Macaca mulatta: one gene and its partners. The protein of the gene in region 5 interacts with the protein of the main gene of each other region in a biochemical or structural test. Links are inferred from orthologs where the notes say so. Each region holds a gene or a part of one and is shown on either strand. Other genes may lie near its edges. The genes, in order: PEX7, DDO, PEX13, AGXT and PEX5.

Region 1 (5,932 bases), on a different chromosome or scaffold from region 5:
CAATTAAAAGACACAGACTGGTAAACTGGATAAAGATTCAAGACCCATCAGTGTACTATATTCAGGAGACTCATCTCACATGCAGAGACACACATAGGCTCAAAATAAAGGGACAGAAGATCTATCAAACAAACGGAAAACGAAAAAAAGCAGGGGTTGCAATCCTAGTCTCTGATAAAACAGACTTTATACCAACAAAGATCAGAAGAGACAAAGAAGGCCATTACATAATAGTAAAGGGACCAAGAAGAGCTAACTATCCTAAATATATATGCACCCAATATATGAGAACCCAGATTCATGAAACAAGTCCTTAGACACCTACAAAGAGACTTAGACTCCCATACCATAATAATGGGAGACTTTAACACCCCACTGTCAACATTAGACAGATCAACGAGACAGAAAGTTAACAAGGGTATCCAGGAATTGAACTCAGCTCTGCATCAAGCGGACCTAACAGACATCTACAGAACTCTCCACCCCAAATCAACAGAATATATATCCTTCTCAGCACCACATCACACTTATTCCAAAATTGACCACATAATTGGAAGTAAAGCACTCCTCAGCAAATGTAAAAAAACAGAAATTATAACAAACTGTCTCCCGGACCATAGTGCAATGAAACTAGACTCAGGATTAAGAAACTCACTCAAAACCACTCAACCTCATGGAAACTGAACAACCTGCTCCTGAATGACTACTGGGTACATAACGAAATGAAGGCAGAAATAAAGATGTTCTTTGAAACCAATGAGAACAAAGATACAACATACCAGAATCTCTGGGACACATTTAAAGCAGTGTGTAGAGGGAAATTTACAGCACTAAATGCCCACAAGAGAAAGCAGGAAAGATCTAAAACTGACCCCCCAACATGAAAAGAACTAGAGAAGCAAGAGCAAACACATTCAAAAGCTAGCAGAAGGCAAGAAATCATTAAGATCAGAGCAGAACTGAAGGAGATAGAGACACAAAAAACCCTTCAAAAAATCAGTGAATCCAGGAGCTGGTTTTTTGAAAAGATCAACAAAATTGATAGACTGCTAACAAGACTAATAAAGAAGAAAAGAGAGAAGAATCAAATAGACGCAATAAAAATGATAAAGGGGATATCACCACCAATCCCACAGAAATACAAACTACCATCAGAGAATACTATAAACACCTCTATGCAAATAAACTAGAAAATCCAGAAGAAACAGATAAATTCCTAGACACATACACCCTCACAAGACTAAACCAGGAAGAAGCTGAATCCCTGAATAGACGAATACCAGGCTCTGAAATTGAGGCAATAATAGCCTACCAACCAAAAAAAGTCCAGGACCAGTCGAATTCTACCAGAGGTACAAAGTGGAGCTGGTACCATTCCTTCTGAAACTATTCCAATCAATAGAAAAAGAGGGAATCCTCCCTAACTCATTTTATGAGGCCAGCATCATCCTGATACCAAAGCCTGGCAGAGACACAACAAAAAAAGAGAATTTTAGACCAATATCCCTGATGAACATCGATGCAAAAATCCTCAGTAAAATACCGGCAAACCAAATCCAGCAGCAAATCAAAAAGCTTATCCACCATCAAGTGGGCTTCATCGCCAGGATGCAAGGCTGGTTCAACATACGCAAATCAATAAATGTAATCCAGCACAAAAACAGAACCAAAGACAAAAACCACATGATTATCTCAATAGATGCAGAAAAGGCCTTTGACAAAATTCAACAGCCCTTCATGCTGAAAAACTCTCAATAAATTTGGTATTGATGGGATGTATCTCAAAATAATGAGAGCTATTTATGACAAACCCACAGCCAATATCATACTGAATGGGCAAAACCTGGAAGCATTCCCTTTGAAAACTAGCACAAGACAGGGATGCCCTCTCTCACCCCTCCTATTCAACACAGTGTTGGAAGTTCTGGCTAGGGCAATCAGGCAGGAGAAAGAAATAAAGGGTATTCAATTAGGAAAAGAGGAAGTCAAATTGTCCCTGTTTGCAGGTGACATGATTGTATATTTAGAAAACCCCATCGTCTCAGCCCAAAATCTCCTTAAGCTGATAAACAACTTCAGCAAAGTCTCAGGATACAAAATCAATGTTCAAAAATCACAAGCATTCCTATACACCAATAACAGACAAACAGAGAGCCAAATCATGAATGAACTCCCATTCACAATAGCTTCAAAGAGAATAAAATACCTAGGAATCCAACTTACAAGGGATGTGAAGGACCTCTTCAAGGAGAACTACAAACCACTGCTCAGTGAAATAAAAGAGGACACAAACAAATGGAAGAACATTCTATGCTCATGGATAGGAAGAATCAATATTGTGAAAATGGCCATACTGCCCAAGGTAATTTATAGATTTGATGCCATCCCCATCAAGCTACCAATGACTCTCTTCACAGAATTGGAAAAAACTACTTTAAAGTTCATATGGAACCAAAAAAGAGCCCACATTGCCAAGACAATCCTAAGCCAAAAGAGCAAAGCTGGAGGCATCATGCTACCTGACTTCAAACTATACTACAAGGGTACAGTAACCAAAACAGCATGGTACTGGTACCAAAACAGAGGTATAGACCAATAGAACAGAACAGGGCCCTCAGAAATAATACCACACACCTACAACCATCTGATCTTTGACAAACCTGACAAAAACAAGAAATAGGGAAAGGATTCCCTATTTAATAAATGGTGCTGGGAAAATTGGCTAGCCATATGTAGAAAGCTGAAACTGGATCCCTTCCTTACATCTTATACAAAAATTAATTCAAGATGGATTAAAGACTTAAATGTTAGACTTAAAACCATCAAAACCCTAGAAGAAAACCTATGCAATACCATTCAGCTCATAGGCATGGGCAAGGACTTCATGACTAAAACACCAAAAGCAATGGCAACAAAAGCCAAAATTGACAAATGGGATCTAATTAAACTAAAGAGCTTCTGCACAGCAAAAGAAACTACCATCACAGTGAACAGGCAACCTACAGATTGGGAGAAAATTTTTGCAGTCTACCCATCTGACAATGAGCTAATATCCAGAATCTACAAAGAACTTAAATTTACAAGAAAAAAATCAAACAACCGCATCAAAAAGTGGGCGAAGGATAAGAACAGACACTTCTCAAAAGAAGACATTTACGCAGCCAACAGACACATGAAAAAATGCTCATCATCACTGGCTATCAGAGAAATGCAAATCGAAACCACAATGAGATACCATCTCACACCAGTTAGAATGGTGATCATTAACAAGTCAGGAAACAACAGGTGCTAGAGAGGATGTGGAGAAATAGGAACACTTTTACACTGTTGGTGGGATTGTAAACTAGTTCAACCATTGTGGAAGACAGTGTGGCAATTCCTCAAGGATCTAGAACCAGAAATACCATTTGACCCAGCAATCCCATTACTAGGTACATACCCAAAGGATTATAAATCATGCTGCTATAAAGACACATGCACATGTATGTTTATTGTGGCACTATTCACAATAGCAAAGACTTGGAACCAACCCAAATGTCCATCAATGATAGACTGGATTAAGAAAATGTGGCACATATACACCATAGAATACTATGCAGCCATAAAAAAACATGAGTTCATGTCCTTTGTAGGGACATGGACAAAGCTGGAAACCATCATTCTGAGCAAACTATTGCAAGGACAGAAAACCAAACACCACATGTTCTCACTCATAGGTGGGAATTGAACAATGAGAACCCTTGGACACAGGATGGGGAACATCACACACCAGGGCCTGTCATGGGGTGGGGAAAGGGGGGAGGGATAGCATTAGGAGATATACCTAATATAAATGACCAGTTAATGGGTGCAGCAACCAACATGGCACATGTATACATATGTAACAAACCTGCATGTTGTGCACATGTACCCTAGAACTTAAAGTATAATAATAAAAATAAAAAATAAAAATTAAAAAAAACAAGTAAAGTCTTAAGAGCACAAAAGAGTAGTAATAGGCTCCTGTTTTCTCTTTGAATCTAAGGTACACAGCGCCACCTAATGGTAAAAACAAGGCCACCATTCACTACAAATAAGGCTTTTGGTAAATACAGAATTACTTACCTGAGGCTGAAGCAAAACAACCAGGGATGTGGGGAGACCAGATTGTGCTATAAATAATACTTTCATGGCCTCTAAAGGTGCACAGAGACTTTCCAACAGTTGGATCCCACTAAAAATAAATGAATAGATCAATTGCTCAAGAGGGATAAATTCAAATTTATGCTTTTACATATACTATACATACCAATAAACTATATACATTTATATATACACATACAATATATATACAGATCTCAAGGATTTTTAAAGATCTATTTTGATATAAAGCAGGATGGTATTTAAGTGCCAAACTAATGCTGAGCTATTAGTTCACAGCCAAAAGATTAGAAAATTTTAAGTTCTAATAAATGTTTTAATTTTTTTTTTTTAAGAAAACTCAGCTATCCAATCATAAAGCTACAGAAGTATGTTTGGAAAAGAAAAGAAAATTTAGCAGAAGCTCTAGAGAGGGGAATATTTGTTTTCGAATACAATAATGCTATCATACCAATTTGACAGTTCGATCCCATGAGCCAGACACCACAAGCTGTTCACCTCTGGTTTGGCTCCAATCAACACTATACACCTAAAAACAATCAAAAGCATTTAGAAAGCAAAAGACCATCAAGTTCAACGTTGCATTTTATCTCTTGTTATATAACAGTGAGAGGCAGAACAACTAATTTACTATGTCAAAACATCAAATAATTCCTATCCATCTCAACAAGGTGTCCGAGAAATGAGAAGTTGATCTTGTCCATTCCTCCAGACTTATTCCTTACAGATAAGACTCCATTCTGCTTTCATAGAATTCTACAGTATACTTCCAAACCTTCTTCACTGAAACAAATTATACATATTTTAAAACCTACCAACAAATCACTGTTTGCAGCCCCACGAAGAAATGTCAAAGCAGATTAGAAAGTTAGTCATCTAAAAAAGCTTGCTGGGTCAATGTTTATTGGAAAGCATTAAAATTCAATTAATATCCCTATCTGGCCTTTCCTAGAAAAAGCTTGCAGGAACCAGGTGATCCTTCCAGATCTCTTGGTAAACAGTTTTAGTTATCCAATGCTGCTATTCTAATGTATGCTTCACTGCTCTCAGTGAACCATTTCAAATGAACCATTTGAAAACTTTTGGAAATGTTTTCATTCCTTCATTTTATACAACAGATTATACACAGATCACTCCTGTAAACTAAGTTCAACAAAATATGTGCATAATTATACTTTATGAAATTAGTCCTGACAAGGACCTGCGTATATGCCATTGGTATATCACATTGGTGATCAGCCAGCAGGTTACTTTGAATCTTATTACTCTCTCCCACATATATGTAGGAAGTATGAGTATCTGGGCTTAAGCCACTTAAATGTGGGTTACTTTCTCTCTGCTGCCCAGTACTATGTTGAGCCATGTTGGAGGCTGAGGAAAAAAAACATCAGTAATACTGATCCCGTCACTTATATATGGAATCTAAAAAAGTCAAACTTAAGAGAAACATACAGTAGAATAGTGTTTGCCAGGGGCTGGGGGTGGGGGAAATGGAGATATGTTGGTCAAAGGATACAAACTTTTAGTTATAAGATGAATAATTTCTAGAGATTCAATGTACATTATGGTAACTATTATAAATAATAATGTATTACTGAATACTTGAAATTTGCTAAGAGAGTAGATCTGCAATGTTCTTATCGTGAGAACAAGAAAATGGTAACTATTCAAGTGATGGATATGTTAATTAGCTTTACTGTAGGAATCATTACTCAAGATATATTTAGATCAAAACACTAAGCTGTACAACTTAGATTTCTTTTTTTCCCCCCCCCAAAACAGGGTCTTGCGC
Region 2 (5,282 bases), on a different chromosome or scaffold from region 5:
ATAAGAATACTCATAGATGATGCACTGGGTCTTGCATTTTACAGTAGCATGAAAAACCCCTAAACACTTTTTAAAAATAAAAGGTCTTTATTGAGCAGCTATAGTGTGTTAGGCACAGTGTTATGCTTTTTCCAGATGTTGTCTCATTTCATTTTCACAACGAGCCTAGGGAGTCAGTATTATTACCCCCATATTATGAATACGGGATTAAAGCTTAGAGAAGTGGAATAACTTGGCCAAGGTCATATGAATCGTAAAGGGTAGAGGCCTCCTAAGCACTTTTTAAAGGTGTTTTCTTTGTGTTCACCTTTTGAAAGATTATAAACACACTGAAACGTGTTGCTCAGTATTACTACAAAACTCCAATTTACTCTTCTTTCTATGCCAATGTTAAGGTGAAAAACAACCTTTACAGAGTTATTTTACCTTTAAAAACATTTATCTATTACTGTATGTTTAAGAACATAATTTAAGTTTCTAAATTGGTTGTTCTTACCGAGAGAGCCAAAAAAAACCCTGTCCCCATAAATTTGCTACATTAAATACTTTTTATCTATGAACAGTTTTACTTATAAAACAAACAAACAAACACAACAGTAGCTCCAGCTTCATTCTCTCTCTTTTAACTACTTTTAGTTACACCAAAAAGTAATTCATTGGCTTTATTGGTTCTCTGTGGCCCCAAAGTGTAGATGCTTGCCCGATTCTTTTCTTTGGTTTGCTCGTCTCAGGTAAACAACATACTCCCTTCCTTGGATTTTTAGAATAAAAAGCAACCGAATTTAGGTTCTGTCGTTTGAAGCACTGATGCTGGCAATGCAGCTTGCATTTAATAGGAAGTGCGTTGTAGGTTCATGTGATCTCAGAGCAAGCGGAACCTCTGAGTTCTTCTTGCCTCCTGAGGGTGCTGGACAGAGTACAAGCCCTCAACAAATATTTGTTGAATAATCAATGAGTCTAATCCAGAGGGTTCAAACTGTTCTTGAAACTGCTCAGTGGAGATACTTCAGAGGTCTCTGCAGAGGGAGGGAGTGTGAAGAGACTGAGCAGATGGAGCTCTGCCCAGCAGCTTGGCCTTCAGTCAAATGCAGAGAACTGCAAAGATGCTGAGACGACAGCCTGTGGCTGGTACTTGATGGAATATGAAGCTGAGCTATTGGGGTCAGGGTCTAAGATGCCACTGAGTAGCAATGTTGATCTCTTCCGCACTCATCAACGTGAGGCATTTTTTTTCTTCCTTCCTTTCTTTCTTTCTTTCTTTCTTTCTTTCTTTCTTTCTTTCTTTCTTTCTTTCTTTCTTTCTTTCTTTCTTTCTTTCTTTCCTTCCTTCTTTCTCTTTCTTTTCTTTCTTCCTTCCTTTCTTTCTTTCTTTCTTTCTTTCTTTCTTTCTTTCTTTCTTTCTTTCTTTCTTTCTTTCTTGCTGTTAGGTGTATTTTACCTCAATTTAAATAAAGACTACAGGTACTGGATAAGCCATTTCTTTTCATGATTGATATAGTTGGTCCAAAAAACATAACAATTACCAATCACAGCTGCCATTTAGCTCATTAGCTACAAATATTTTGTGTTCTTCTCGTGCTAACACACTTGTAGACATAAAGCTGGTGGGGATATGACCCCTGTATCTTTTAGTTAGGGAGACCAGACTAATACAAAGGAGCATGCAAGAGTTAACAATATGAGATAAAATGTATCAAATTTAGGTGTTAAATAAGTAGTAGAAATAAGAAATGCTTGGACATTTAAAATACCAAATCAACTTGGCATTTATTCAGCATCTATAACAATATAGGAATTCTACAAAATTTTAAAAGGGCAAAGCATGTAATTACCTTTGTTTTGAACTTTCAAGTGGTTTCCATTTAGATTCAACTTTAGAAATCCCCAGTTCCTAGGATGTGAAGCAGTTGATGGCTCGAATTTGGCCTGATTGGGCCCTGGAAGCTCCTGGGGTGTTTGTTCATCAGATGATTGCCTAATTTTTGTTCCTGGGTTCCTTTTCTTTACTTCCTAGAAGTAGTTGATCAGGATGCTGACAAAGGTTCACTTCATGACCTCTCTTCCATAGGATAAAAGGAAGTGGAGGCTGGATGCTCACTCGGCGAATAGACGACCTGTGGGAACTTTATCCGTCCTTCGACATCGTGGTCAACTGTTCAGGCCTTGGAAGCAGACAGCTTGCAGGAGACGCAAAGATTTTCCCTGTAAGGGGCCAAGTGCTCCAAGTTCAGGCTCCCTGGGTGGAGCATTTTATCCGAGATGGCAGTGGGCTGACGTATATTTATCCTGGTACATCCCATGTAACCCTAGGTGGAACTAGGCAAAAAGGGGACTGGAATCTGTCCCCAGATGCAGAAAATAGCAGAGAAATTCTTTCCCGATGCTGTGCTCTGGAGCCCTCCCTCCACGGAGCCTGCAACATCAGGGAGAAGGTGGGCTTGAGGCCCTACAGGCCAGGTGTGCGACTGCAGACAGAGCTCCTTGCCCGAGATGGCCGGAGGCTGCCTGTAGTCCACCACTATGGCCATGGGAGTGGGGGCATCTCGGTGCACTGGGGCACTGCTCTGGAGGCTGCCAGGCTGGTGAGCGAGTGTGTCCATGCCCTCAGGACCCCCATTCCCAAGTCAAAGCTGTAGATGACATAAAATGACAGCAAATAGACTGAGAGACTGTTGATCAAAGCACAGAATAGGTTCAAATGACTTTTCCACTGCATGTAAGTTTAATTAGACATTTCTTTGTTTTCAACATTAGAAGTGGTATAACATGTAAGCTGAGCACAGTGGCATGCCTATAGTCCCAGCTACTTGAGAGGCTGAGGCATGAGGATCACTTAAGCCCAGGAGTTTAAGTGCAATCTGGATAATATAACCAGACCCCACCTCTAAAAAACCCAACAACAACAAAAGAAATGATGCAACATGTAGGCTTCCTTAGGAAGTCTACCATTAATGACATAGGGCATAAAGCTCTATTTTTTGTTGAAAATACTTCTTATAGAGTAAAATTTCTTTAGAACTGATGTCCAAGGACCTATGCAGATTTATATGAATGTTGGAAGCTACAGAGATTTTGATATCATTTGGCTTATAAATCCACACGAAGAGATAATGTATGGAAAACGCTTAAATCACTGTCAATTGTAGAGCTGCCCGTGATCTTCGTAGGTTATAGCCAAGTCAGCAACATAATTCCTCTAAATAAAATTACATGGTGCTCACACAATGCAGGATTATTATGTTTAATTGAAGACAAAGCATGCTTGCTCCTAGTACTGGCGGCAACCTTTTCCTCCCCTCAGCTGGTAATGATGGTAGGAGACAGAGATGAAGCTGCCTGTGGATGTCATATCAATTCACTAGCTGCCTGGGGTCAAACACCTAGGGGTTGTACATTCCATTACTGTAAATGATTGAGAGCTGGTTTGCAGTATGGTTGGGTTAAGCATTTTTGAAGATGAACAGCATGTGCAGCCAAAGAACTAATTTGCTAATTAAGGTGAAACAATCATTCTGAATGAAATATAATCAGAGTATTCTGCAGTTTGTTAAGAAGTTTTGGGGAGGAGGGGAATGTGTCTCACAATAAAATGAGTTGGAATTGTGGAGCTAAATGAATTGAACCTGTTTTTTGACTCAGGCCTACTCAGAGCCTTTAATGTGTGCATGTGTAATGTGAATCCTCTAGAGAGCTTGGGTGGATGGAAAAGGACGTGCTGGTATTGAGGTAAAGAGGCTTGAGGAGGCTGGGCACGGTGGCTCACACCTCCAATCCCAGTACTTTGGGAGGCCGAGGTGGGTGGATCACCTGAGTTCAGGAGTTCAAGACCACCTTGGCCAGCATGGTGAAAGCTCATCTCTACAAAAATACAAAAATTAGCTGTGCATGATGGCGGGTGCCTGTAATCCCAGCTACTCAGGAGGCTGAGGTAGGAGAATCGCTTGAGCCCGGGAGATGGAGGTTTCAGTGAACTGAGACACACCATTACACTCCAGCCTGGGTGACAGAGGAAGACTCCGTCTCAAAAAAAAAAAAAAAAAAAAAAAAAAAGGCTTGAGGAGAAATGGCTTTAATTTTAATTTTTGGGGAAGATGACTTCTGTTAAATGATACAGTAAATTCTATTTTGGACATCCTGAGTGAGATATAGGGTTGCCAATGAAGAAAGTGTGGGAAAGAAGCTCTCAGCACAGCTACAGCTTTGCTGTTGTGTTCATTCAGAACTTGCATATAATTTTGTTTGCAGAGAACATTCTGCTGGTAGACAGCGAGAGAAGAGCCCACCAGTGTTTTATGCAATCAGAATCATTCCTTGCAGTATTAACATTCTCAAGGAAAATCAAATGTGGGCTCTTTTCTATAGACTTCCACCAGGGGGTGGTGTTGTATCAGATTCAGATACATTGGTACATTCAAAAATTTAGAAATGACTAGAAATAAAAGATGGATACCAGGTATATATATAGTGTGTGTGCTTCTTTTGAGATTTTGGAGTTTATACACCCCAAGTGCAACTCTTCTGAATTCTAAGTATTTGAGAAATGTATAAGTTTAGACAGACTGGAAACACACATATGTATCATACATAATCTGTGAAAAATAAAAGGTTATGATAAAATTGCATTTTTTAAAGAAGGAAATAATTTTTTAATAGTTAAAAATAAAAATGAAGGCCACGGTTCAGAATAGGTAGAATTTCTGTCATTTTGAGGCAGCTTTAAGTGTACTCCTTTGTTCACTGTGCCTGTGGTTTAGATCCTGTGGCATTTTCATTGCGTGTGGTGGCTCAACTTCTATGACCTTTGTGTATTTGCTACTCTAGTTCAGCTTCACTCTGCATTTTATATTTCTAAAGTGCAACGCTGCAAGAGTGCAAGATTGGAGGCTTCTTGAGAAAGTGGTTGTGGCTGCATGCCCTGATTTCATTTTCACTAATTGCTAAGTATTTGTTCGCAGTGTCTCTGAAATATTATTCATTTCGGTCAGTAGCTGCCAACCTGGGCTGCACCTTAGAATCACCTGGGAAGTTTTTAAACAATGTCGACGCCCAGCACTGCTTTATGAAATTAGAACCTTTGGTGGGTGAGGCGGAGCTGCTGCATCAGTGTTTACTTAAAGCTGTCCACGAAGTTCTGAGAGCCAGGGCTGAGAACCACTGAGCACTCTTTCCCTCCTCTCCTTCTAGGCCCCCGCTGCTAGCATCACCATTATCCTTCCCTTCCTTCCTCACTAACTTGGTGCATGGAGCTCAGAGGGATGTGCTCACTCAGGCAAGTGTGTCCT
Region 3 (6,527 bases), on a different chromosome or scaffold from region 5:
GCAGTCTGTCCGTTCTCAGAGCTCAAACACCATGCTGGGAGAACCACTGCTCTCTTCAGAGCTGTCAGACAGGGACGTTTTAAGTCTGCAGAAGTTTCTGCTGCCTTTTGTTCAGCTATCTGCCCACAGAGGTGGAGTCTATAGAGGCAGTAGGCCTTGCGGAACTGCAGTGGGCTCCTCCCAGTTCGAGCTTTCCTGCTGCTCTGTTTACCTACTCAACCCTCAGTAATGGCAGACGCCCCTCCCCCTGCCAGGCTGCTGCCTCACAGATTGATCTCAGACTGCTGTGCTAGCACTGAGTAAGGCTCCGTGAGCATGGGACCCACCGAGCCAGGCATGGGAGAGAATCTCCTGGTCTGCTGGTTGCTAAGAATGTGGGAAAAGCCCAGTATTTGGGCGAAAGTGTCCCGTTTTTCCAGGTACAGTCTGTCATGGTGTCCTTTGCTTAGGAAAGGGAAATCCCCTGACCCCTTGCGCTTCCTGAGTGAGGTGACGTCCTGCCTTGCTTCGGCTCACCCTCCATGGAGTGCGCCCAGTGTCCAACCAGTTCCAATGAGATAAATCAGGTACCTCAGATGGAAATGCAGAAATCACCTGTCCTCTGCATCAATCACGCTGGGAACTGCAGACCAGAGCTGTTCCTATTCCCACATTTTCATATTAAAGCAAAAATACACACAATGGTCTCAACAGATGCAGAAAAGCCATTCATAAAATTTAATATTTCTTAATGATAAAAATCTGAGCAAGGTAAGGGCCAGGCATAGTGGCTCACACCTATAATCCCAGCGCTTTGGGAGGCCTAGGCAGGCAGATCACCTGAGTTCAGGAGTTCGAGACCAGCATGGCCAACATAGTGAAACCCCATCTCTATTAAAAATACAAAAATTAGCTGGGCAGAGTGGCATGCACCTGTAGTCTCAACTGTCTGGGAGACTGAGGCAGGAGAATTGCTTGAACCCAGGAGGTAGAGGTTGCCATGAGCCAAGATTGCACCTCTGCACTCCAGCCTGGGAGACACAGTGAGACTCCATCTCAAACAAAAATAATAAAAATAAAATTTAAAAACTCTGAACAAGGTAGAGAGAGAGAATTTTGACAAGATATCTATCAAAAACAAAAAGCTAACTTCACATTTAACAGTAAAACTTCAGAAGCACTCCAATGGAAGTCAGGACCAATATAAGGATGCTAGCTTATCTGTAAATTACATAACTGGCTATACAGAACTAAAGAGAATTTCAACCAAACCATCAGAACTAATTAAGAGTTTGAGATTATGCTGCATATAATATTTACATTAAAAAAATAGCATTCTGCCATACCAGTTAATAACCAACTGGAAAATGTAAAAAGAAAAAAGAAAGCCCATTTGCAACTACTACAGCAAAAATAATCTATGAATAAAAAATATGGGAAAAAATTTCATGGAGATAGTTTAAGTTTTTTTTTTTTTGAGGCAGAGTCCCGCTCTGTCACCCAGGCTGGAGTGCAGTGGCGCGATCTCGGCTCACTGCAAGCTCCGCCTCCCAGGTTGCCGCCATTCTCCTGCCTTAGCCTCCTGAGTAGCTGGGACTACAGGTGCCCGCCACCGCGCCCGGCTAATTTTTTGTATTTTTAGTAGAGACGGGGTTTCACCGTGGTCTCGATCTCCTGCCCTTGTGATCCGCCCGCCTTGGCCTCCCAAAGTGCTGGGATTACAGGCATGAGCCACCGCGCCCGGCCAAGTTTTTTTTTTTTTTGAGATGGGAGTCTTCCTCTGTTGCCCAGGCTGCTGTGCAGTGGCATGATCTCAGCTCACTGCAAGCTCTGCTTTGTGGGTTCACGTCATTCTCCTGCCTCAGCCTCCTGAGTAGCTGGGACTACAGGTGCCCGCCACCACACCCGACTAATTTTTTTTTTGTATTTTTAGTAGAGACGGGGTTTCACCGTGTTAGCCAGGATGGTCTCGATCTCCTGACCTCGTGATCTGCTAGCCTCAGCCTCCCAAAGTGGATAATTATAAGATATTTAAGGCAAAAAGATTATCAAAATTCTCACCAATTGTAGCTTATACAACATTCATGGAATAAAAACTTACTTGATCCATAAATTCAGCTCAGTTCCAATAAAAATCCCAGTAAGTCTTTTTATAAAGGACTAAGTGTAACAAGGGCAATTACAAAGAACAGCAATGTGTGGAAACTCTTGACATACTACATATCAAAACTTATAAAATTCTGTATTAAGATAGTGTGGTGCTAGTAGAAAGTCAGAAAGTGCCCAAAACAGAACTACATATTTAGGAAAACTTGGTATGATATAGATGGCATTATAAACTGAGAATAGACTACTCAATAAATGGTGCTGAGACAATTAGTTACCTATATGGAAAAAAAATTAGATTCCCTACTTCACATCGATTTTTATACAAAGTTAGTTCCATGTGGATTAAATATATAAATGGGAAAACCAGAAGATTTAAAAGAAAACATACAGAAGAACCGTCCTGATCTAGGTAGACAGGATTTCTTGACCAAGACAAAAAGCACAAACAATAAAATACGACAGTTTTGGCAATATTAAAATCAAAAACATCTGTACAAAAAATTGAACATGAAGAGAAGCCACACAGAGAAAGATATTAGCAAAATGTAGTAACAAAAAAGGATTAGTATTAACAATACTCTTACAAATTGATAAGCAAAGATAAAGCCAATAGAAAATTGGGCAACAGAAAAAACAAAAACAGATATAAAAAATAATAAACATTAACATGTAACTATATATAACATATATATTACTGTTACATTGTTAAGTTTTAGATATAAAATGCATATAAATAGCACAAACCTAAGTACTAAAGTTAAAAAACATTACTGGGTATGCGAAACACCAAATAAGGACAATAGTCACTACTACAAAGAAGAATGGGAGACTTTAACTTTTATTTTTAAAAATGCGACATAAATTTGGCAAATGTTAACATTTTTTAAAGTTGGGTAGTGAATAAACAGGTATTCTTACTCTCTGCTAGTCTCTGTGTTTAAAATATTTCATGATAAAGTGAGCAAATGGTTAATTTTACATAAAAAGAACTTTAACAGATGCAAAAAATAAAACCTCTTCTCATTCGACAAGCAGTCTAAATGGGGAAAAAAGAACCGAATCATAAAAAAGGTAGCAGATAATGTCACCGTGGCTTACCAGCCTAATTAAAGCTTATTACTTGTGATGTATATATCCTTATTAAACTAAGTAGTTACCGTGTTAAAGCATTTTAGTGTTTAAATAAAAGATTTCAGAACACAGCAGAAATACATTCCAATATGTTGGGGTTTTTACGCTTACGAAAATCTACAATAGTAGTTGATTTGACATTTGAATCACACCTATCTGAATTAAGATGTCCAGTACTACCAAACAAAAGCCACACGAGGCCATGAAACACTCCCAACTCTGCATGTTTTAGCCTTTTCAAAGTCCTAGAAACCAACTGATACTGATTAAAAACCAAACAAAAAACTATAGCCCTCAGAAAAATACATCATTTTGCACACAAAGGCCATCCATAGGCCTCAGATCTAGAACTCCTGCTTTAATGTTGCTTCTCCAATCTCAAACTGAAACACTGGCTGAGTTACGCTGGAAAAGAAGGCAAAGCGTTCGGGGCCTGAGTTCTAGTTGCGTAAAACCTTTCGGGCTTTCGGCAACTTCTCGAGAGGTTAACACCTTTAACGAGACTTTGTTCCCTACCGATGCCGTGGCTGGACAAATGCCTCTGTCAACTGCTACAGACCCAAAGTCTATGCTCTAAAGATAGTGAAGCCGTTCTGTCAAAGTGAAAACAGAATGGGTAGGTAGGAAGCCGCCCCGCTTTCTTTCAAGCACAGAGACCCAGAGAGACGCCCAGGAGCTCCCGAAAAAAACGTTGGTGCTTAAGAGTTGCCGGGGGTCAGAAACAGCTGTGAGACACTGAAAAATCCCCACTGGTAAGCGCCCCAACTCCACCTCGACTCCTACCCGCAAGGTTGGGGACTGGTTAAAAGGGGGGGAGGGAATACCTCCCCCAACAACCGCTTCAACCGCCTTCGGCCAAGTCCCCGCTCGGGCCCACCAACCTCCCAGCCTGAAGAATCCCACACTCACTGGAAAGTGGGGCCGGGTCCTGGTCCCGGTCCGGCTCCCGGAATTCGGCGGGTCTCCCAGGGTTTCGGGGGAGGTGGCGGCTGGGACGCCATCTCCTCCGCCTCCGCTCGGCTCCCGCTCCTAGCCCGGACTGTCCAGGCCAGCGTAGACCAGCACCTCGAGCGCAAGGCACAACGGGAAGAACACCGAGCCGTCCACCCCTCCCACCCTGGCAGTCAGAACAAGGCTTGAGTTACTTCGCCAGCTGAATCCATACAGCGAGAGGATGCTACTAATTTGTAGGAAGAAACACGTTCTTTGTATGTGCCCCAGAAAAAGCTCCTGTTCTAAATCTCAGGGTAAAGGCTCATCGATATTTCTGGCAACGGCTACGACTCCCTAGACGTCAGAGTCCGACAGAGGCTTTTCTGGGAGTGGACCAGTAAGGCTGGGAGTAAAGCCCCACGCACTCCTACAGTCGCGGGGGCAGTGGGGTGAGGTGGCAAAGTAGGCGATTTGACGGATTTCCCTACAAACAAGAAGGGAGAAGCTCACTTAGTCCTAGCGAGAACGGGCTGGTACTTTCGTTTAAAGCTCACGTTTCCTCGGGGAACAGAATTGCTAGACGCAATAGGTGCGTTGTCTTTAGTCTTCCCCGTTCCCTTCGAGGGCCGGAAGGGGTTAAATCTCAGGCTCCGGCGTCTGGGGAGAAGGTGAGGCGGGTACGTATGAGGTGAAGGAGTGCAGACTGGGTGCAGAAGAGGTGTGGCGAGAGAGAGAGGTCATTTCTCTCCTGCTGGAGCGGCTTTGTTAGCAAAGGAGGGGTGAGTGGGAAGTTTGTTGCACCTGACCGAAGGGGGAAGGGCTTGCTTGGCCAAAACTGAGGCTTGAGGTTAGATCTCGGGATGAACTTTTCAAGAGTCCACAGTAGATTCCATAGCTGAATGTTTCAGAAGCCCAGTGAAGTGTGATCACCTTTTTCCCCGTAAATCCACACCCCCAGCCCCACGCCGCGGTACGAATGACACCCTTCGGTAGGGAAAGGAGTTTAAAAGATCTTAGGATATGAGACTCAGGCAGTTTTTTCTCACACCCTGCTCGTTTCCTCGTTTTCGATGACTAGTTTTTGTAATCGTCCAGGAGGTGAAAATAAAGTCCTTCCTCTCCTCCAGTAAGCCAGAGACTGGGCTAGTTATCCTTGGTCTGGGGAGGAGGGATTCAGTCCTCCTAGGGAGCCTGACACGTGAAAGGCGGCTGTGTAGCAACTTGTTAGCGTTGTTTCTATAAAACAAACACGTAAACGAAAAGCAAACATCTTGAGGGTAACCAACACTGGAAAACTTACATTATGGGATGCCTTTTTCAGGGCTTGCTTTCAAGCATAATCTAATATGGACAACCGATTTCTGATGTCTTATGAAATCCTGACATTTTATTACCTCACGATGAAACAATCAAATTTAAGGCGTAACGTGTTTTCTCCTTTTAATGTTGATGGATTGTTGGTAGGTGAAATTGAGAAGTTGATAGATTGTTAGGAGGTGAAAATGATGTTGAGAGGTTTGTAAATTCATAGCTCGTTTATTAACACACATTCAAAAGAGGTCTTTTTGTTTGTTTGGGGTCTATTTTTAGACCTCTTCAAATTACTCAGGACTGGAAGTTTTGTAATTCTCATCAATCAGGTTTGGGAACTTCTCAGAGCCAGGAGTTTGTAATGTGTCGTTTATTCGCTTTGCATGATACCTTTGTTCTTGTGAATTTATTGGAGAAATAAACATGGTCTTATAGCCATGGAAAATAAAATAAATTTTAATATAGCTATTTAAGTCTCTAGGGAAATCATTAAGTGTCCTTTTAAAGTGCTTATTGATTTGTTTATTGGAAGAGGGTGTATTTGTGTTTCTTTTTGAGTTAAATGTTACTTCTGAATTAAGTAAAAGTCTTAAGCTAAACTAATGGAGAAAAAATAACTTAGAATAACCGGTGAAACAGAAACAGTTTCTCTGTGTATGTAGTCAGAGATGCACTGTAAATGCTTATATTCAGCCCCTCACAGCATCCAATCTTTTCTCTGCATCAAACTAGATTAAATGGACTGGGAAAAGGGATACAGATCACTAGTAAATAATAATGACTTGACCTTGACCACACAGATTTTATTTATTTATTTATTTATTTATTTATTTATTTATTTATTTATTTTGAGATGGAGTCTCGGTCTTTCGCCCAGGCTGGAGTACAGTGGTGCGATCTTGGCTCACTGCAACCTCTGCCTCCTGGGTTCAGGCGATTCTCCTGCCTCAGCCTCTGGAGTAGCTGGGACTACAAGCACGTGCCACCATGCCTGGCTAATTTTTTGTATTTTTAGTAGAGATGGCATTTCATCGTGTTAACCAGGATGGTCTTGATCTCCGGAC
Region 4 (5,932 bases), on a different chromosome or scaffold from region 5:
GGCAGGCTCCCTTCTCTCTGTGCACCAGGAATGGTTCCTTCTCTGCAGGCCGTGCCCTCGACAATCCAGCCAGTGGCCCTGTCTCCTCCTGTGGAGTGCAGCCCACGCACCTGTTCCGCAATGAGGGCCAGGCTCTCTCTCAGGCTGTACAGGCTGATGACGGGGATCGTGTGATGGTACCTGGAAGATACGAGGGGGCTTGGTCCAGCACCACGGGCAGGTTTGGGGGCAGATGGGGCATTAGCTCTGTCTGCCCCAGCCCCAACAGCACAGGCTGTCTGAGCACAGGCCGGTATCCGCCACAGGAGTCTTGTCTGGGTTCAGAACTTTGGACCGGGAAGGCAGCTTTGTCTGCCGGGGAGAGCATGGCTCCATGTGGGGCCCGGCCAGGATGCGGTGGGTGGTACAGGAGCAGAGACACACACCACCACCACCCTGCTGAGCCCCTCAGCCCCAGCGTGCCCACGAAGCCAGCACTGGCCCTCTGTGCCCACTGGGCTAGGGCAGCATTCCTGGAGCCTTGTCCCTGTGTGTAACATAAGGGGCCTTGGGTTTATGGCCAAGATTATCTTTTGAAAGGGGATAAACTGAGGCCCAGGAGTGGGGAGATATGGCAGGGCCAGGTCCAAAGTGCCCGAGGATGTGCTGGGACCTCTGAGCGGGGGGACAGAGTTTGTGGAAGAGGCAGTGGGGGCCATGCCCCTGCCCAGAGCCTCGGGCCAGTCGAGGGATGGGGAAACCCAGGGTGGGGCATGCCGACCGCCCGATGCAGGTGAGTTCTGGGACTCTGATTGGGGTTCTTGTGGCATGAAGGTGGGGGGCTCGGAGAATCCCTGAGTGCAGTGAAAGGTCAGCGTCCCCCCAGCCAGCCATTCCCAGCACCCCCCACACCTTCCCGTCCCTGCCGGGCCTCACATCCTGGGCTGGCCGTCACAACCCCAGAAGTTGGCCAGCCACTTGATGTCCAGGTAGAAGGAGAAGGGCTTCGTCTTGCGGGAGTACATCTTCTTTCTGGGGAGGAAAAGCAGCCTGAGCACCGGCCCCTCAGTTTGGGCTGAAGGCAGGAGCAGTCTTGCTGGCTGTCCTGTTTCACAGGAGTGAGACGGGGTGGGGCCCCCAGGAGGGCCTGCCCCAGCTGCATTTATACTCAGGGGCCAATGTGGGACCGGGCAGGTCCTGGGTCCCTCAGCTGTCCAGTACCGCTGGCCCTTGGGCCCAGCCTGCACCTCTGCCCATGTGGGTGTGACCCTGCCATGGGGGCACTGAGGCCAGCTCCCTCCATTCTGTGTGCCCCTTTCTCTCCCCCAGCCCTTCCTACAGGGTCAGCCTTCATTTCTCACATCATCCAAAGGTGACTGCTTTCGGGCCCCAGGGCACACTGGCCAGGCTTAAAACTTTAAATGTGTCCGTCTCTACAACTCCAAGTTGGTGGGCCAGCCCCGGTCTTTCCCCAGGCTCCTGACTCACACCCAGCCGCCTCCTTCACCCTCCCCTGTGATCCAACGGGCATCTCAGACCTCCCACGTCCAACACCGAATTCCTGACTTCACCCCAAAGTCCTCTCTGTTCTGGGGAATGGCACCTCCAGTTGCCAGGCTGCAGCTGGATGTGAACCGCCTGTGAGGCCTGGCCCTCTTCCCCCACCCCTGCCTGGCCTGGCTCGGAATCTGGACACCAGGAGCGGGAGGTGAGATTGGGACTGCAGGGGGCACCATGTGTGGTCCACGTTGTGCCTTGGGGCAGCCCCTGGAAGCCAAGCCAGGGTGGGTCGGGGTGCTGGGCCCCAGGCCCTCAGTTCTTTCCTGGCCACTCCTTGGTGTGAAGCTGGGAACTTCCAGAGCAGCGGACTCTGCACCCTGCACATGCCCACGGCCCTCCCCTTGCCTGGCCTCCCCACTCCCCGTGAACGCAGTGCCTTTGGCCTCCCGGAGGGTGGGCAGGAGAGCGCCAGGTGCTGGAGGAGCCTGGGGAGCCCTTCCAGCCTGGCTCCCGCCCCTCCTGCCTCGGGCCACCTGAGCTCCCTGCGAGCCCAGCCCTGCACAGAGGTGAGGGTCTGTGGGTCACTCACTTGGCCTTGTCACTGAAGGAGATGAACGAGGTCCCTGGGGGGGCGTTCAGGACCTTCTGGGAGCCCGAGTACAGGATGTCGATGCCTGTAGATGGGTGGTTTGTTTGGGACGGGGGAGCCCCACCACAGGGCAGGCCGGTCCAGCGGGGTGCCTGCCTAGCTAATGGGCTGGTGGGCTACGACCCCACAAGAATCCGGACACGATGGGAGGGGAGACATGGAAGGGAATCCTGGGTTCGAATCTCAGCACTGTTGTGTGGCAGCCATGACCTCAGGCCTGAGCCTTTTAGCGCAGCTTCTCCCTCCGCTGTGCGAATGGTCCCCAGGGACAGCCCTGCCGTCCCTGGCCTCGTGTCCCCGGGTCCCTCCCCAGGTCCCTGCTTTCAGTAGTAGTTTGAGGATCAGCCCAAAAATCCCTCCCTTCCTGCCTGAGATCTCCCAAATCAGGAGGGGCTCTGCAGAAACAGAGAGGCTCCCATGGAGTGGGTGGGCAGGCACCGCAGTGGGCGCAGGGTGCAGGCTCTCCCTCGTAAACGTGCTGATGGGCACAGGAGGCGCCTTGGTCCCCTCGGCCGGCCTGGGTGAGCTTCCCTGCGAGGTGACCCTGTGCAGTGGTGCTCACTGCTGTGGGCAGCCTGGCGGGGTGCAGGGCGGATGTGAAACTGAGCCTCTGGGGGTTCGGCAGAGGGGTCCCCTACACCTGATCGACTGGAGCCCTGGCCACTGCTTCTACTACAGCTCTGGGGCCTCTCAAATGTCCCCCACCAGCTGTCCCTCCCGCCAGTCCCCATGCCTGGATCTGAAAGCTCAGTGGAAACACTGGGGTGCCGGGTAGTTCATGGAGCCGCTCTTGCCCCAGTAAGGAGTGAGTGTTTCCCTGGGCCGGGTGGAGATGAGGCCGAATCCGCAGTGTTGGCTGCCGGATGCGCACTTCCAGCAGGGCTTCCTGCACCCGGAGCCCCTGGCTGCTTGGGCTGGGTAGGACCCTCAGAGCACACCCTTACCTTGCTGGTCCATGTAGAGAGGGGTCCCACCCAGGGATACCACCGAATCCACCAGGAGCAGGCACTTGTACCTAGAGAGATGGGGGATGGAACGGAGGGCCGCAGGTGAGGCAGGGGGCCGCTGGAGGGCTTGGGCCCCAGTCTGGATGGGGTTTCTGAGCCTCAGGCTGGCAAGGAAGGGGGGGTGCCTCCCACCTGTGCCCCAGGAGTTGGCCAGTTGCCTTCTCCTGCCTGTCAGGATCCGTCAGGACCTGTGGCTCTTTCTTTTGCAGCCCTGATCATTGGAGCAGAAGGAGCTGGGGGAGTGAGGGAGCATCATGGCCCTGGTGGGACCCAGCTGCAGGGCCCTGCAGTGGTGCCGAAGAGGGTCAGCCGGGCAGTCTGTGGTTCCCCAGGGACAGCAGGCACATGAGGGCCTGTGTGGACCCCAGGGACCACGGTGGCACCAAGCTGGGCCTCCCTCTGCCAACAGCTGCTCGGCCCAGCCACTGGCCAGAGTCCAGGGCCGGAGGGGACAGAGTCCCAGAACAGCACAAACAGCAGCACCGCGAACTCTCACCCTCCGAACTCTCACCCTCCAAACTCTCGCCCTCTGAACTCTCACCCTCGTCCACCTCCATATTTTCTTGTAAAGAAAAGAAAGATACAGAAAGTATCTCGTGCTGGCTGCAGGTGGGGACGGCCTGGGTGTTGCTGAAGCCGGCCAGGTTATGTTTGTGAGCTTTATTCATGGCCACGGTCCATGTAGCAAGCTGTCCGGGCTGGGGGCCCTGCTGAAGGATCCTCCCTGGCCGTGGAGTTTCTCTCCTCTGTCCTGTGCTCAGACCTGCCGACGGGACTGCTAGGTCCCAAGGGGCTCTGTCCCCATTTCTCAGGAATCCCGTCTGACTCCATTCAAGGCCCTGCCCTGTGCACCCCCATGCGGGGGTAAGGGAGGCTGGAGGAGGGAAGCGGAGGGCATCAGGGAGCTTTAGTGCCCTTGCAATCTCGGGGCGAGGTGGGGACAGGCCCTGGCAAGATATGGAGGTCTGTGCCAAGCCCTCTTCAGTCATGGGGACAGAGGTCAGTGGGCACCGTGGGGGTGCTTGGCCAGGGAGCACCTGAGCCTGCCCCGGGGCCTGGGATTGTCTTTAGACTCAGCCCAGAGCAAAGAGGACCTGAGAGGTGCTTGCACCCCACACCATGTGACAGAGGCCAAGGTGGGGACCAGGGGCAGAAGCGCCAGAGGGACCAGTAACCACCCCTCCCCACAGCCTGGCTCTGAGCTGTGCTCTGGCCCACCGCCCTGGGGCCAGGTTCACCTGTGGCAGAGTTCCCCAAAACCGTCAAGGGGCTGCAGCACGCCGGTGGACGACTCCCCGTGGGTCAAGAACAGCAGCACCGGCTTGTGCTGGGCCAGGCCCTGGGGAGGCAGGGATGGCTGCAGGCGAAGCTCAGAGTGGCAGGGGCCAGGAACCCCCCAACAAACCCCCCATGGGTGGCCCAGCTCCAGGCAGCAGGGGCTGGGTGCGCCTCAACCCCTCCCTGACGGTGTGCATGCGAGGCGGAGGCGGGGGCATCTCCGATTTGGGAGGAGGGCTTTTCCGAGAACAGGACTTTTGCGCAGAGGTGGAGGAAGGGTGGCCCCAGCCTGCTGCCTGGCCTGTGAGGGCTGTTGCTAGATGGACGGAGTCCCCCACACTCCAGGTAGGTTGAGGCTGACTTCAGCCCACAGGGTGGAGTATCCTGAGTGTCAGGGACATGCTCTGCAGCCCTGACCACAACCCTGTCTCCTGCCTCCAGCCCCTCTGACCCTGCCCACAGGACCAAGCTCCTGACTCAGTTTCCCTGCCAGACAGAAGCCTCCCTACCAGTCTTCCCATCATTCCCAGGTAATGGAGCCCTCCCCTGTGGCCACTCAGGAGATGCTAGGATGGGCTGAGGGCCAGCCATGGGCCCCAGCCTCCCGGCTCTGATCCCACCCCACTGGCTGGTCACTGCCAGGCAGCGCATGAGCCAGCATGCCCCCCAACCTCCTTGCAGACCTGACCCCCACCCTGGGTCCCCCTACCTCCTCCACCTCCTGCAGTGTGTAGTGGCCTCCAGGGTCCTTGGTCATTGGGTGCACTCGGGCTCCTGGGTGCAGGACAGAGTGGGCCGTGAGTGTCCCGCACACACTGTAGAAGCCAGCGTTGGGCACCCGTGGCCCTGCTGAGCAGGGGGGCCCTGTGAGGGCTGGACCCCACCCTGGCTGCCTGAAGAGGAGGGTGTTCTCTGCCCAGTGAGAGCCTCTCTGTGTGTAGAGCCAGGGCCATCTTGACCCCCCGACTGTTGGAGCCAAGGCTCCTGGGGTGCCCTTGACAGAGCTCAGCTCAAACACCCTTTCTCAGGCCACACTGGCCAGTGTCTCCCCAAGCAGAGTGAGCTCCTGGGGGTCGGGGCCGCACCTGGCCCAGGGCTGGCACAAGGAGTGCACCTGGCCCAGGGCTGGCACACCACTGGTGTGGTGGATGACAGAGCGAAGGATGAGGGGTGAGCGAGGCAGCAGTCTGGCCCTCTGTTGGAGCTGGGACTCCAGGAATCAGGCCCTCGTCCCCTCCTTCTCTCTGCCTCTATCCTGCGTGCTGCTCGTGGCCAGGGTTGTGGGAGGGGAAGAACTTGCAGCCGAGGGTACAGAATGGGGACAGGGGAGGCCATATACCGCAGGCATCTGAGCCTGAGTGCCCTGATGACCACTTGGGGTCCTGGCCTCTGCTGACCCTGGGTCCCCTTGAAAAGTTTGTGGACTTTGGATTGGGACCGTCTTGGCTGTGGCGGTTGGTTGAGTATTAACCAGCGTGGCCACTGTGGAGCTGGCCAAGCTGATGTCCCTCAATGCCAC
Region 5 (5,932 bases):
GGGCCAAAAAATCTTGTGTTTGCTCAGATCTGGAGATAAAACACATCTTTCAGGGTTCTTAAATTTAGACAGCTTCGGTTGACATGGTATATGAGGTTCATAGGATAATCGTGAGAGATAAACCTGCACTTTCATGGGAAAAGCCACAGATAGCAGTAGCAGAAGATAACTGGCAACAGATCTTTTCTGGATGGTGGAGGAGAGGCTTTGGAATAACAGTCTCATTGTGATGTTTTCTGTTTTTGGTACAAGTTTGCCATGAGCAGACTAATGATAATAGCTAACATTTGTTACTGTGTGCGTTGGTCTTCACAGCAGCCCCTACTGTTATCTCTGCTTTAACGATAAGGACATGGAAACTTAAGAAGGTTGAGTAACTCGTCTGAAGATGCACAGTGAATAAATGATGGAGTTAGGATTTAAATGTGGGTAGGCTGACCCTAGAACCTGTATTCTTCTCCACAGTGCTGCTATTTAGCAGACACAGAAACTTTCATGAGTAAGAGTAGTAGCAAGTTCTGAGTTTTTGAATTTTGAGCTTGGGAAAGATGTGCCTAGAAGGAATGAGTAAACAATGAGAAATTATATGAGGCGCACATTTTGAGTGGGATATTTGGTATCTAGGTTGTTCTCACTCTGCTAATCTATGACCTCAGGCAGGGGCATCCCCTCTTTAGACCTTAGTTGCCTTGATCTCAGATGTATCCACGTGGATCTGATTTTCTGTAGAAATTTCTCAAAGGTTGTGAAGGCAATGTGTTACTCTTCTGATTCTTTTGGTTATTTGACTCTTTCGTTGGAGTAGGTTCCCAATGCCAAGAAATTCTGGGTCTTGTGGCTAATATGGCCAAATACCAAAATTTGAGGATGGCTTTTCTCAGCTCTGGGATTTTTTTCCCTAAACTGCCTCATATCTATTGTTAAGTCCTCATGTCTGTTGTAAAAATTCAAAGGTGCTTTGTATTTTTTCTGTTTTTTTTTTTTTTTTGTCCTTGAGAGGACCATTTCATAGCAATTTGAAATATTTTCTGTGAATTTGAGGAGCACTTAGGACCAGAATATGCTTTTGTAAAATACTGTAGTTGAGAGTTAGGAGCGATTGGAGAGTTGAGGAGGGAGTAGTTATTTTTCAACAGAATGGAACTAAGAATTTCAACTAAGAATGGAACTAAGGAACTAGGAGATCTTAAAGTCTCTTTGAGTATTAAGCATCTCCTTTCTGTCTCCACACTTGAGGCAACAGTCTCATTGGGGCAAATGGAAGAGAAATGCTTCCTGTAAGAGCTAGTGAGCAGAATCTGCATTGAATTTTTGAGAGTCCTTGAAATTAAGAGACCGGATCTATGGTCAAAAAACGATTGCCAACCATATTTCTTATTACATTATACATTATATATTATAAGGTATATGTATAATGTATAATGATGTATGTGTATAATGTCTTATATACATTATAATATATAATGTAATAAGTAGTAATTATTTTTTATAATTAGGGGTATTCTGAGAATCTTGATCCTTTGTTTTTCACATTTGACATTTCATGCTCAGATTTTGAGACTACTTTGTTGACATTATTCAGGCAAAGTCTCAGTTAAAATGGAGTAAAAGTTTTTATACTTTAATACCAAAGGGGTAAGTTGACTTTCTCACTGTTAAAAGCAAGGGCAGTCAGATCTTGAAACTAGGGACAGACTGCTAGTATCAGCTAATACTTTCACAGCCCTGCCCAAATGTCCCTCTTTAATGCAAATTGGAGTTAGTAGGTTCTCAACAAGAGAATGGAGTTCCCCCTTGGGAACTGTCCTTGTCATGGGCCAGGAGGGGGGAATAGCTGGGGAAAATGGTGGCAGACTAACGAGTAAGATTAGTTCTGGACACAGGGCAGAAGGAAAGAACACTGCAGGCTTGTAGCTTCTCTTTGTTTCCTTGTTCTTTAGGGCCCGCAGTCAGTCTCCTTGTTGTTTTTCTGGCTTCAGGATATTAAGGGCAAAGTCCTGGAGGTTGAAAAACAGTTCAGCACCCTCATTGAGTTTGTTGCCTTGATAGGTTTATTCTGATGTTGCAGCAGTCCCCTTCGTCACTAGAGCTTCTGAGACAGTTTCTAGATTTAGACTGAAAAAACATAGCTACTCAAAGATAATCAAAAGTGAGAAAAGTCAGAATAGTGTTTACTTCTGTGGGCTGGGAGACTGAGGTAGCCTGTGAGGGAACTGTAAACATTCTGTGTCTTGATCCGGGTGGTGGTTATGTGAGTGTATTCATATGTGGACGTTAGTTTAGCTGTACACTTACGTTTGGTAGACATTGTATGGTTTCATATTTGTATGTTATATTTCAATTAAAAAATGAAAAAACCCACCAGACATCCATAGGGAAGAGCAGATCCATGTATCTTTCATTCTAGCCTAGCATTCCACTTCTCTGGTTCTCTTGGTAGGCAAATTACAATGAAATAAGGCTCCTTTGGCCGGGATTATGTGAACTCGGGGTAGAGGGAGAACAAACCAGAGGGTTGGTTAAGGAACAGGAGCCCTTCTGTGCTCCCTTCACTCCTTACTGGCTCTCTGCTGTACTTTTGAGGAAAGTGAAGGCCCTTCTGCTTCCTATTTCTTACTGAAATATCTTGTACTTCAAGCAAAAGAGTTTGGTTCTTAATCCTTTCCTGAGCTTCCTTATTTGATCTCCCGTTCCCAACTCTCGGTAAATTTCTGCCCCAGGCTCCTTGAGAATGGGTTGGATATTGAGTTTGTTGAAAATTTAGTAGTATATTCTTTTGACCAGGGGTTTCTGAGGGAGTCAACAGAGCTTTGTCTGCTTTGGTGTGGCTAAGAGGGTCAGTTGAATGTGGACATCTCTTTCCCTTTCCCTGAGCCCACACTGAATGAACCCGTGTGATTTCCCCACCTCTCTGCTCCTTGCAGACCCCTTGTCTGTGTCCCCCGCCCGCTGGGCTGAGGAATATTTGGAGCAATCAGAGGAGAAGCTGTGGCTGGGAGAACCTGAGGGAACAGCCACCGATCGCTGGTGAGTTCAGCTGCCCCTTTCCAAATCCTGTGAAAGGAGTATGGAGAGTTTTCCAGCCTCCTCTAACCTCCTCCATCCACGTTCTCAAACCAACTTACTTTATTACTTAAGATTTCCCGTTGGATTATTACTCCTGTGAATTTATGGTTCAAATGTAGTCAAGGACTGGGTGGTTGTGTGCCTGTACTCGGGAAACTGAGGTAGGAGGATTACTTGGGCCCAGGAGGTCAAGTCTGGCCCGAGCAACATAGTAAGACTTTGTCTTTAAAAAAAAAAAAGCACATGCATGTGCACACACAGAGCCACACACACATACACATATGTATACATGCATACATATATACATGTATATGTACATGTGTATATACACATACATGTATACACATACACGTATACATATATACACATGTAGATACATACACATGTATATATGCCTGCACATACACATACACATGCATACACATACATGTATATACATACATGCACATATGTATACACACATGTATATATACATATATACATATCAGCTGTATTTGGGAGGAAGGGAGTTTTCAGGTCATTTTAAAATATATGTATATATGTAAATATATATATTTTTCAAGAATCCTAACTATCCTATATGAAGTTCATAACTACATCTTAAAGCTCATAATTTTACCTTGTTCCCTTCTTAATTTTGAGCCTGCTACTATCACATCTATATGCAAAGATATGTTTGGGAAAGGGAGAGGTAAAAGGATGTAGCTAGTACTTTCACACTCCTGCCCAAATGTCCTTCTATAATGCAAATTGGAGTTTGTAGGTTCTCAACAGAAGAATGGAGTTCCCCCATAGGAACTGTCATTGTCATGGGCTAGGAGTGGGGAGTCGCATGGGGAAGGTGATGGCAGACTAATGTGTAAAATTAGTTCTTACCCGTTCCAGGTACGATGAATATCATTCTGAGGAGGATCTGCAGCACACGGCCAGTGACTTTGTGGCCAAAGTGGATGACCCCAAATTGGCTAATTCTGAGGTGAGCCACATCCCTCTGCTGCTTTGCCCAGCAGAGCTGGTTTTGGAAGGCAAGAATCTCGCTTCCCTTACCCCAGTTTAAAGAGAAGGAGAAGAGATCCTGGGTCTCTTCCTTCCTGTCTGTAGAACAGAGACTTAAGATCCTGCCTCTTCCTGCTAGTGTTCATTCCCTCAACTCCTTGCCTCCTAACTCTTGTTTCTGATGCCTTTTCACGTCTTTAGAGCCAGAAATCCCTTTCTTTTTGCTCTCTACTTCTTTTAGCGTCTTTAGCATATCTTGTCTGCAGCTAGAGATGGTCAGGGGAGGGGTGAGTACAGGCTCCTCTTGGGCATGATTGAGAGTGCACACCTGGAAGTCCTTTCCCAAGTGGCCTGTGTGTGTCTCTGTGCCCCAGTTCCTGAAATTCGTGCGGCAGATTGGCGAAGGGCAGGTGTCCCTGGAGTCCGGTGCAGGGTCGGGCCGAGCTCAGGCAGAACAGTGGGCAGCAGAGTTTATACAGCAGCAGGTAGGACATTGTCACTTTCCAGTCCCACTTCAGAGCCAGCTGATGGCCCAGGCCATGGGTTCAGTGGTCAGTGGTCCCCGATGGGGAAGGATGAGGCCAGCTTGTCTTGATAGCACCCAGGTCCCAAGTGGGTGGGAAAGAGATTCTGAGAATGGTTTTCTCAGAAGTACCCAGGTTGGTGGTGTTTAGTGGGTATTTAGTGTGTGTCTGAAGGGTGGAAAGTTGGTGGTGGTGGTACTGACCATCCTTTTTTGTCACAGGGCACATCAGATGCCTGGGTTGACCAGTTCACAAGACCAGTAAACACATCTGCCCTTGATATGGAGTTTGAACGAGCCAAGTCAGCTATAGAGGTGAGAGCAGATAGTGCAGGAGGAGGCAACCCGAAAGAAAACACTCCTTGGAGTGAGTGGGTGTCTTGGAGTGAGTGGGTGCCTTGGAGTGAGTGGGTGCCTTGGAGTGAGTGGGTGCCTTGGAGTGAGTGGGTGTATGAACATCAAAGATGGTGCAAACTGTCCTGGATCATCTGTGTCAGAGTTGCTTGGGGATGGGGTGGGTGCTGTTCAAAAATGCAGATTTCTGGGCCACACATGGTGGCTCATGCCTATAATCTCAGCACTTTGGGAGCCCGAGGTGGGTGGATGACCTGAGGTTAGGAGTTTGAGACCAGCCTCAACAACATGGAGAAACCCCATGTCTCTACTAAAAATACAAAATTTGCGTGGTGTGGTGGCGCATGCCTGTAATCCCAGCTACTTGGGAGGCTGAGGCAGGATAATCGCTTGAACCTGGGAGTTGGAGGTTGCAACGAGATGAGATCATGCCGTTGCACTCTAGCCTGGGCAACAAGAGCAAAACTCTGTCTCAAACAAAAAAGTAAACAAAACAAAACAAAACTAAACTACAGATTTCTGGCCATCACCCCAGACTACTAAATAAGTATCTGGGGATAGGATCCGGCCATCTGCATTTTTAAAAAGTTATTCACATGATTCTTAACCATGTTGAAATTCAAGAACTGCTGCCTTAGGGAATCAGTCCCAGCAGAGCTGAGAGTGGGGTGGGGTGGTCATGATGGATCTCCTTTTTCTATCCGCCTTCCCTTCCTTACAGTCTGATGTCGATTTCTGGGACAAGTTGCAGGCAGAGTTGGAGGAGATGGCAAAACGGGATGCTGAGGCTCACCCCTGGCTTTCTGACTATGATGACCTCACGTCAGCTACCTATGATAAGGTAAGGTAAAAACTCTTAGTTTTTCAGGTTCCAGAACTTCCTTCTTTTTAATATGTTTCCTTTAATCCTGAATTTGAAGGGTGCTTTTAAGTATTTTCTTGAGTCCCTTTCCATGAAAAGAAGTCTGAATCATTCCCTTGCCCTTCCTCTTC

The links.
Region 1: the proteins of PEX5 (region 5) and PEX7 form a complex in vitro, tested with the Homo sapiens proteins (3 studies listed by BioGRID). The link is inferred for Macaca mulatta from reciprocal best matches to the Homo sapiens genes PEX5 and PEX7.
Region 2: the proteins of PEX5 (region 5) and DDO form a complex in vitro, tested with the Homo sapiens proteins (2 studies listed by BioGRID, with this or other methods). The link is inferred for Macaca mulatta from reciprocal best matches to the Homo sapiens genes PEX5 and DDO.
Region 3: the proteins of PEX5 (region 5) and PEX13 form a complex in vitro, tested with the Homo sapiens proteins (3 studies listed by BioGRID). The link is inferred for Macaca mulatta from reciprocal best matches to the Homo sapiens genes PEX5 and PEX13.
Region 4: the proteins of PEX5 (region 5) and AGXT are reported together in a solved structure, tested with the Homo sapiens proteins (2 studies listed by BioGRID and IntAct, with this or other methods). The link is inferred for Macaca mulatta from reciprocal best matches to the Homo sapiens genes PEX5 and AGXT.

The regions. Positions count from the first base shown.
Region 1 is NC_133409.1:41,957,273-41,963,204, reverse strand, and holds part of PEX7 (peroxisomal biogenesis factor 7), read right to left. Parts: intron 4,670-5,932; coding exon 4,592-4,669; intron 4,214-4,591; coding exon 4,105-4,213; intron 1-4,104. UniProt on the Homo sapiens protein: Receptor required for the peroxisomal import of proteins containing a C-terminal PTS2-type peroxisomal targeting signal. Specifically binds to cargo proteins containing a PTS2 peroxisomal targeting signal in the cytosol.
Region 2 is NC_133409.1:15,435,828-15,441,109, reverse strand, and holds the end of DDO (D-aspartate oxidase), read left to right. Parts: intron 1-2,068; coding exon 2,069-2,636; 3' UTR 2,637-3,613; downstream 3,614-5,282. UniProt on the Homo sapiens protein: Selectively catalyzes the oxidative deamination of acidic amino acids. Suppresses the level of D-aspartate in the brain, an amino acid that can act as an agonist for glutamate receptors. Protects the organism from the toxicity of D-amino acids.
Region 3 is NC_133418.1:63,753,641-63,760,167, forward strand, and holds the start of PEX13 (peroxisomal biogenesis factor 13), read right to left. Parts: upstream 4,304-6,527; 5' UTR 4,221-4,303; coding exon 4,129-4,220; exon of another isoform or gene 3,719-4,128; intron 1-3,718. UniProt on the Homo sapiens protein: Component of the PEX13-PEX14 docking complex, a translocon channel that specifically mediates the import of peroxisomal cargo proteins bound to PEX5 receptor.
Region 4 is NC_133417.1:146,146,045-146,151,976, reverse strand, and holds part of AGXT (alanine--glyoxylate aminotransferase), read right to left. Parts: intron 5,188-5,932; coding exon 5,123-5,187; intron 4,475-5,122; coding exon 4,374-4,474; intron 3,144-4,373; coding exon 3,073-3,143; intron 2,154-3,072; coding exon 2,069-2,153; intron 1,012-2,068; coding exon 916-1,011; intron 181-915; coding exon 111-180; exon of another isoform or gene 1-110. UniProt on the Homo sapiens protein: Peroxisomal aminotransferase that catalyzes the transamination of glyoxylate to glycine and contributes to the glyoxylate detoxification.
Region 5 is NC_133416.1:8,213,675-8,219,606, forward strand, and holds part of PEX5 (peroxisomal biogenesis factor 5), read left to right. Parts: intron 1-2,924; coding exon 2,925-3,027; intron 3,028-3,951; coding exon 3,952-4,042; intron 4,043-4,436; coding exon 4,437-4,547; intron 4,548-4,807; coding exon 4,808-4,900; intron 4,901-5,660; coding exon 5,661-5,780; intron 5,781-5,932.